2 linked regions of the Canis lupus familiaris genome follow. The protein of the gene in region 2 purifies or fractionates together with the protein of the main gene of each other region. This does not show direct contact. Links are inferred from orthologs where the notes say so. Each region holds a gene or a part of one and is shown on either strand. Other genes may lie near its edges.

Region 1 (4,282 bases), on a different chromosome or scaffold from region 2:
CCTGGGGACCCAGGATCAAATCCCACATCGGGCTCCCAGCGTGGAGCCTGCTTCTCCCTCTGCCTGCCTCTCTCTCTCTCTCTCTCTCATAAATGAATAAATTAAAAAAAAAAATCTTAAAAAAAAAAAACAAAAAAGGTGTATCAGTTTAGGGCACCAGGATGGCTCAGCCTGTGCATCCAACTCTCGGGTTTTAGTTCAGGTCATGGTCTCAGGGTCCTCAGGTCCAGTCCTGCAAAGGGGTCCAGGCTCAGTGCAGAATCTGCTCTGGGTCCTATCCCTCTCCTTTTGCCTCCCCACACCCCCATGCTTTCTCTCTCTCAAATAAAGAAATCTTTTTTTTTTTAAATTTTATTTATTCATGAGAGACAGACACAAACAGAGATGCAGAGACATAGGCAGAGGGAGAAGTAAGCTCCCCATGGAGCAGGGAGCTGGATGTGGACTCCATCCCAGGACCCCAGGATCAGGCCTAAGCCACCCAAGCAACCAAGATAAGTATCTTAGAGAAAACGTGTATCACTTAAAAAAAAAAAAAAAAATCATTTGGTCATGTTCCAATCCTGTTGAATCCAGTGGTTAAAACAACAACAACAAAAAACTTTCTATGGTAATTGATAATGGTGATTTTGGTATTTGATATAGTATATACTGTTAATGCTGTTTTCCATATTTGGCGTAGGGGGACTTGTGTCACATCCCGTGCGTGTGCCTCAGTTTCCCAAATTTTTTCCTGATGGTTTCTTATAGATTTTGCCTCTTTTTTTGCATGTTTATTTACACATGTAATTAGGCCGATTGTTCAAGCGGTTTCATTAAGCTCGGCTGGTTCTTTCTTTGCAGTTGACTAGAAACTTCAAAAGGTAGGAGGTCCTGACCTCCGGCCAGTAAAGCAGGTCGTCGGCTTGTTGACGCTTAATAAACGAACTGAGCCTATGCAGGCATGCAGGGGAAACTCCTTCGGTGGCTTTGGATTTCAAAGTTCTGTTTTTCCCCAAGACCTACAGTAACACGTGTATACGACTGAAAAAATAAAAAATGTTGCTATGTATGCAATACTTACTTGACCAGGACCCAAGATGTCCCTGAAATTTCTTACCCTCCTTCATATGCGACAAGAACTGCATCCCTTCCAGGCAGAACCAGGTAAACTGATTTTTACAACCCACTGAGGAGGACTGGTGGCTACAGGCCGCCTGAAATCGCTTCTCTAGCAGTCTGCGCCGCCGCTCCTTCGGTCACACCCCTCGAGAATGCGGCGCTCGCAGCCGGGAAGCCACCGAGACCTCCGGGCACCCCGCCCCCCGCGACCCGGGCCGCTCCGAGGCAGGCAGGCAGGCAGGCGCCGACCCGCCGCGCCGGCTCGGTGGATGATGCAGGGCTCGACCAACTTCCCTGTGCAGTCCGCCCCGCCCCCTCCATCTGCTCTCGGCGAATTTAATTCCTCCTCGGCGAAGCGGGCCGAGCGCCGAAAGATCGATGCTTCCCTCACGCCCCGAGAGCCGCCATTTTGGGGGGAGGAAAACACCAGGACGGGTTGGCAGAACCTGCGCGGGATGCTCATGGGCTTTTGCTTCTCTCGCCAGCGCTGTGGGGCCGGGGTAGAGGAATCCTCCGGGGCCACTCCTCCGGCTGCCTCTCCGGCATGAGGCCTCAGCGCCCGCGCGGGACGGCCCCCTCATTCATCCGAGAGTGAGTGGCGATCGGCGGCGTGGCGCGCCCTCCGCTATCAGTTATCCCGCGCGCCCCCGGCTGCGCGCGCGGCTCCTTGCGCGCTCCCGCCCCTCCCCCGCCCGGCGCGGAGCTCGGCGCAGACTCGCTTGTTTGTTTCTGCAGGAGCCCAAGAAGAGGCCGAGGCCGAGGCCGGGAAGATGCCTGGGAAGCTGAAGGTGAAAATCGTGGCCGGGCGCCATTTGCCAGTGATGGACCGAGCTAGTGACCTGACTGATGCCTTCGTGGAGGTTGGTGCAAGGTCCTGTCCCTCAAAACACAGGGAGAGTCAAGCCCCTGTGCAGGAGCCTACCCACCTCGCCCCCAGCTCGTCAGCCCACTCTCCTTCCGACTGCCGTCCTTTGTGCGGTGCTCGTCCAGCCTTCCCTGGAGGGCCGACTGCCCAGACTGCAGCCCCTGTGATGGGTGCACCGCTCCCGGGCATCTGCGGCGTCCTCCGCCGCGCGGGGAGGCAGTTCCTGCTCTGCATGCTGGGGTGACCCTGAGGTCAGGACTCCTAACAGGCCAGCTGCCAGTCGGCAGGAGATCCCGAGGCGTGGCCGCGCAGCCACCAGAACGCGCGCGCGCGCACACACACACACAGACACACACACACACACACACACACACCTGTGTACGTTCTTCTGTTTAAGGAGGGGTGGCCTCTCAAACCAAAGTAATGCAGATCACGTCAGGATGGTAGATACAGCCCGTTATGGGCACTTGCTAGGTCTCCAAGGCGAGGCGATCGCACTCTTGAGCGTAACATTCTCTGAGTCATCAGTGTTAAGTCTTAAAAGACAACCCCAGCGCTTTCTGCTCTTGTATAGACTGGTAGATCCGATGAGCTGTTTTAGGGTAATTTAGTGCCTAGAGGTAGGAAGCCAATTAAGTGCCATGGATTTCAATTGCAAAATTGCTTTTTAAGCCAGATGATTAGTTTAAAACTCATGCAAATTAGCACAGGCCTAGGGCCCCGGAAAGTAATAACCCAGAGTCTGAAGGAAGCCAAGTAAAAATTGTAATAAAAACTGACTTGAGGGCAGCCCGGGTGGCTCAGCGGTTTAGCGCCACTTCAGCCCAGGGCCTGATCCTGGAGACCCCCACGTCGGGCTCCCTGCATGGAGCCTGCTTCTCCCTCTGCCTGTGTCTCTGCCCTGCTCGCGCTCTTTTTCATATTAATAAATAAATAAAATCTTAAAAAGAAAACCTGACTTGATGAGCCAGAGCATTAGAATGATAATCATCTGGGCTGGTAATGCTTAGAGTTGACAGCTACAGGATAATAAACAACCTTCTTTCATCTCAACATAAAATATTCTTGATGTTCCCTAAAGGTTCTCTGACTTAATAACTGCAGTTTCTTACCCCCCCCCTCAACATTGCTGTGGTAATTCTTAATCCCAGCTTCATTTTCGCTTGAGAACCAGATGCTGAGTGTGTTCTTGGGCCAGATGTCAGGTAATGGGGATACACGGATTACCAAAGCGTAGTTGCTTTCAGGTAGCTCAGAGACTGACTCATGCAGTTTAGGTTAATTAATAGTTATCGTGTTGAGTCTCATTATAGGTCTTTGCTAACTACTTTTTAATTCTAACTCCTCATAACAGGCCTGCTATTCTATTATCCCGTATTATAGTTAAGGTAACCGAGGCCTAGGAATAGTAAATAATTTGCCTAGGGTTTCTTAACCTAATAAATAAACTTGTGGTCTGTTCTCTTAACCACCGTGCTAACATTACCTCTCTAGACAAGTTGATGAGTGTTGTACAATATAGAAACTTCATTCTGTCTCTGAAGGTTTAGGAAGTTTTCCTAAGAAAATGACATTTGACCTGAACCTTGAACGTTGAATGACGATCAGGATTTTACTAGGTAGAGGGAACATCAAAGGCACAGAATGGGGTACATGGTATGTTTACGGAACTATCTTAATTTGAGATGTGTCTGGAGTAAAAGGCAGTAATTGGGCAGTAGAGGTTATAGGGGATGAGGCTGGAAAGGTAGGTTGGTGCTAAATCTCATGTTCTGTACTGCATAATTTTTCTTTTCTATAAGCAGGGGTAAGCAAAGCAATTTTTTTTTTAAAGATTTCACTTCATTTATTCATGAGACACACACACACACACACACACACACGGGAGGGGGGGCAGAGACACAGGCAGAGGAGCCCAATGTGGGACTGAATCCTGGGACCCCGGGATCACGCCCTGACCCAAGACAGATGCTCAACCGCTGAGCCACCCAGTTGTCCCAGCAAAGCACTTTTTAAGAAGAAATGAAATATGATGCTGTATTAGGTTGTTTATAGGAGGACTTGTGTGATAATGTTATTGATGGACTGGACAGATGAGAGATGAGACAGGGAGATGAGTTGAGAAGGTGGTAAGATTATCCAGGCAATATGTGCGTGTCAAGAATGGCTGTGGGAACTGATTAGAGGAGAAAAACATGAGGGACATAGGTAAAATCATCATGTCTTGGTAATAAATGGTTTTTGCTGCTGAGGGAGGGGTTTTATTCAAGAATGACTTTTTTAATTTTAATCTTAAAATATTTTATTTATTCATGA
Region 2 (4,303 bases):
ATTTCCTCACGCTCTAGCCTAGGCCTCTCGACTCTTTCTGAGAACTTAGACTCCGGTGTCGGCCACCGACTCTCAAGCCCACCCCTGACGGAACCCAGAGGGGTCTCGTCTCCAACTTTTCTAGCTTAATTCATGCTCGAGAGTCTCGGCTCATTGAACATCACTTCCAGCTCTTCGGAACCCGGAGTCCAAACGTGCCTGGCTCACCATCAGGCTACCCTCTTAAGGATGGTTTCCTGTCCAGGGTGGGGGCGGAGGGTGGGGAGGCACATACAGGGATTCATTTATTCAATAAACTTTTACTGTGTGCAAAGCTCGGGCAGAAATAAACTTGACTAAGATTCTGATCCTGTCCTCAAAGAGGTCATAATTTAGTGGGGGAGACAGGCTGTGTTAAACAAGAAGTAAACGCGGGGAGAGACATGGTCCAGAAAGGTTTCCCCGAAGAGGTGGTAATCTGAGGGGCCCTGAAAGATGTATAGGACTTTGATGAGTAAAGAGCTATTTCAGCAAGCAGGAATAGCGTGGTGAAACACCATGGGGGCCTAGCTGCTTTAGGAACCCTGAGAGTAGCTCATTGTTTTCAAAAGATGGGTGTGTGGAGAAAATGGTAACCTGAGGGAGAGAAGCCACAAAGGTAGTTGGCAGGAACGTTGCCACAGGCAAGTAGGATTTTAAGCAGGGGAGTAACATTTTAAAATATACATTAAAAAAATTATTCAGGCTGTTCTGTGTGGGATGCACCAAGGGGAAGAGATGTAGGCAGGGAGATTAGTAAAAAACACTGTGTCAATGGGCAAGGTAGAGCCATGCAGGACTGGGCTGGAACAGTGCCCGTAGGGGTGGAGAGGACGAAACCTAGAAATACTCAGGAAGCAAATCAGCAGAACTGAATGTGAGGAAAGAGGACTCTGGGAGAAAACCCAGGGTTCTGGCATGAGAACTGGGTAAATGTTGGGACTATCACTGAGATAGGAACGAAGGAAAGAAACAGATTGGAAAAAAGGCTGTCTAGCTTTTGAGGGGCCTGTAGGGAAACAGCGTAGAAAAACAAGCAGCTCGGCAGCCCTCCTGATGTGGACTTCCCAGGCAGAGCTCCGAGCTCCGAGTAAGAGAAGTCATTAGTGCGGGGCGGGCTGGGATGGGGGCGACGAGGGTTAAAACCAATGGCCCTTGGACATTAGGTCAGACACACTTTCTGCAGAGAAAAGATTCAGGACAGAGATCTGTGAAACTCCTACATTTAAGACACAAGTCAAAGTAGGGAGGCCCAGAAAAGGGCAGAGAAAGGGGGAGATGGGGGAAGGTGGCCGGCGCTGGGGCCACTAGCTGTTGGCCTCGACTCCCCTGCGCCTTCCGGCAAGCCCCGCCAGGAGACGAGCGGGGGTGAGGACAGGGGGCGGGGACCCGGGGGCTGCCCCTCCCGCTGGGAGGAGGGGCTACTCCGCCGCCGCCGCTTCTGCCCCACCCTCTCTGTCCCGGAAGTGGTCCTTCTCTGGCTCCGGGTGCCGGGAGCCGAAGCCCCGCGCTCCCGGAAGTAGCCTGCCGGCGGCGCGCCGGACCCGGGGAGTGCTCGCTCCGGCTGGGGCGCTGCAGCTGCGCCCGGGTCCGGGCGTCGCCATGACCAGCGAGCTGGACATCTTCGTGGGGAACACGACCCTCATCGACGAGGACGTGTATCGCCTCTGGCTGGATGGTTACTCGGGTGTGTGGGGGGCCGTCTGCGGAGCGGGTTAGAAGAGCGATTGTTTGGGATGGGAGACGGAGCGGGGCCGGGAATTCCGTCCTGTGGGGAACTGGGCAGGGGGAGTGAGGGATGTTTAGGAGTTGGACTTGGAGTTGGACTTGGGATCCCCGGAGGGCCTGTGGGTTCGCGGAGCGGGGCCTAACGGTATCGCCCACTCCCCAGTAAGTGACGCAGTGGCCCTGAGGGTGCGCTCGGGAATCCTGGAGCAGACAGGCGCCACGGCAGCGGTGCTGCAGAGCGACACCATGGACCACTACCGAACTTTCCACATGCTCGAGCGCCTGCTGCACGCACCGCCCAAGCTGTTGCACCAGCTAATCTTCCAGATCCCGCCCTCTCGGCAGGCGCTGCTCATTGAGAGGTGGGGATGCCAACCGAACTGACCATATACCCATTTTGCAGGCCGAAACTGAGGCCCGGGATGGGATGGGACTTACACAGGGTCTAAGAAAGTTGAGACCTTCTCAACTGAGATGGTCTCTGGAGGGACCAAACCTGGGCCCTGCCGGACCCCCTTTCCCCTCCTATGTGGAAAGTCAGTGGTGTCCTCTGCCTCCACGCAGGTACTATGCCTTTGACGAGGCCTTTGTGCGGGAGGTCCTGGGCAAGAAGCTGTCCAAGGGCACCAAGAAAGACCTGGATGACATCAGCACCAAAACAGGCATCACCCTCAAGAGCTGCCGGAGACAAGTGGGCACTGCACCCCTGCTCCCCAATGCAACATCCCATGTCCAGTCTGCCCCTTCACTCCATCCCTTTGGTCACTGCCCCAGCTCCATTCTCCTCCCTCACCTCTGATTGTGGGAGGGGCTTCATACCCAGTCTCCTGTCCCTTCTTTTGCTCCTCCAAAGCATCTCCTACTCTCCTGTGGGAGCTACTCTTTCAGAAGCTCAGATCTGACCATAGCTTTTCCCTCCTCAGAAACTTTAATTGGCTCTTCCACTCCATCCTGGATAGTAGCCACATTCCTTGGCCTTGACCTTCATACTCCTCCATGGTCTGGTCTCTGCCAGCCTTTCTCAGCTTATATTTCTCCAGCGCCCCTGCCTTTCTTTTTGCTCCAGCTACTTTTCCCTGGAGGGTACTATTCTTGGCCTTATCTACCCCTTGAAATACAAAGCAGGGAGCCAGATGCCACCTTCTACGCAAACCTTTCTGGTGGCCCAAGAAGAAGTAACCCTTCTGGGCCTATAGTATTTTTTCTGTGTCTTTTGTGCACTCTCTCTTTACAGTTTAGCATTTGCTCATTTTTTACTTCCTGGACCTTAGCCAGGAGGATCAGTTTCAGCACAAGTTCGCGAAGAACTGGAGAGCATGATGCTAAAATAGGGGAATTCAGAGATAGAAATGAGTAAACATTTATCCAAGACAAAATGGTTGAATTGGTAACAGGTATTAACAGTTAATAGTTTATCGAAGAATACCACATGCTAAGTCTGTTGACTGGATAGATGGCTAGGTAAGGGAGGGATGTTTAATAATCAGTTTATTGGATGACCAATCTCTGACCAGTCCTCCCTCCTCCCCTAACTGCCCTACAGTTTGACAACTTTAAGCGAGTCTTCAAGGTGGTGGAGGAAATGCGGGGTTCCCTGGTGGATAACATTCAGCAACACTTCCTCCTGTCTGACCGGTTGGCCAGGTGAGGGGGGTCGGGCAAGGAGCCAGCCATCTCCCCTTCCTGCACCCTCCTTCCTTGGGCTGTGAAGCAGGACCACCTTCCCCACCCCAACCCACTTGACCTCCCTGCTGCATTGGGGGGATGGCTATCCTACGCCTGGCCTGCACTTTGGATCAAGCTGGCCTGGCTTCAGATCCCAGGTTCCATTTACCAATGGAACTGTTGTGAGATGCCACACATAAAGCCCATAGTATAACCCCTGGGGCTTAGGAAGTGCTCAGTAAATGGTAACTGTTATCCTGAGGTCTTCTTCTGTACCCCTTAGGAGACCTGGGCTGAAACCTCTGTACACAAACAAGGAGGCCCAGAGAAAAGTGGCCTGAAGCATGTCATGTAGTGAGCTGGGGCAGAGACAGGCCAGAAGTCAGATGTCTGGCCAATGTCGCAGGTGCAAGCTGCTTGCTAAAAAGGAATTTGAAACCCTGACAGGCCCACTTTCCCCTTCCTGCAGGGACTACGCAGCCATTGTCTTCTTTGCCAACAACCGCTTCGAGACAGGGAAGAAAAAACTGCAGTATCTGAGCTTTGGAGACTTTGCCTTCTGTGCTGAGCTCATGATCCAGAACTGGACCCTCGGAGCCGTCGGTGAGGCCCCCACTCACCCAGGTGCCCGGATGCCTCTCCACGCTCTCAGAGCCTGGTTCCCCACCAGCACTTTATCCTGCGGGCCCCATTTTCGGGCATCCTTTCTTCAGTGCCCACAACACAGCCGCCACTGCTCATAACCCAGTGTCCCACACCCAGCTTGTCTGTGCACAAAGGACCTGCTGCTGGTCTGTGGCCTGAGGTGTCACTTCACCTTTCTGATACTTCCTTGTCTGTCTTGTGGGGGTTTGTTGAGGTGGTGGGTGTGTAAGGCTCCGGATATCACTGG

The links.
Region 1: the proteins of FIBP (region 2) and C2CD5 purify together in Homo sapiens (affinity purification with mass spectrometry; 3 studies listed by BioGRID and IntAct, counting the BioPlex papers as one, with this or other methods). This does not show direct contact. The link is inferred for Canis lupus familiaris from reciprocal best matches to the Homo sapiens genes FIBP and C2CD5.

What each region holds. Positions count from the first base shown.
Region 1 is NC_049248.1:21,832,461-21,836,742, reverse strand, and holds the start of C2CD5 (C2 domain-containing protein 5), read left to right. Parts: upstream 1-1,477; 5' UTR 1,478-1,692; intron 1,693-1,836; 5' UTR 1,837-1,871; coding exon 1,872-1,961; intron 1,962-4,282. UniProt on the Homo sapiens protein: Required for insulin-stimulated glucose transport and glucose transporter SLC2A4/GLUT4 translocation from intracellular glucose storage vesicle (GSV) to the plasma membrane (PM) in adipocytes.
Region 2 is NC_049239.1:51,878,082-51,882,384, forward strand, and holds the start of FIBP (acidic fibroblast growth factor intracellular-binding protein), read left to right. Parts: upstream 1-1,499; 5' UTR 1,500-1,620; coding exon 1,621-1,705; intron 1,706-1,909; coding exon 1,910-2,108; intron 2,109-2,310; coding exon 2,311-2,437; intron 2,438-3,289; coding exon 3,290-3,390; intron 3,391-3,880; coding exon 3,881-4,014; intron 4,015-4,303. UniProt on the Homo sapiens protein: May be involved in mitogenic function of FGF1. May mediate with IER2 FGF-signaling in the establishment of laterality in the embryo.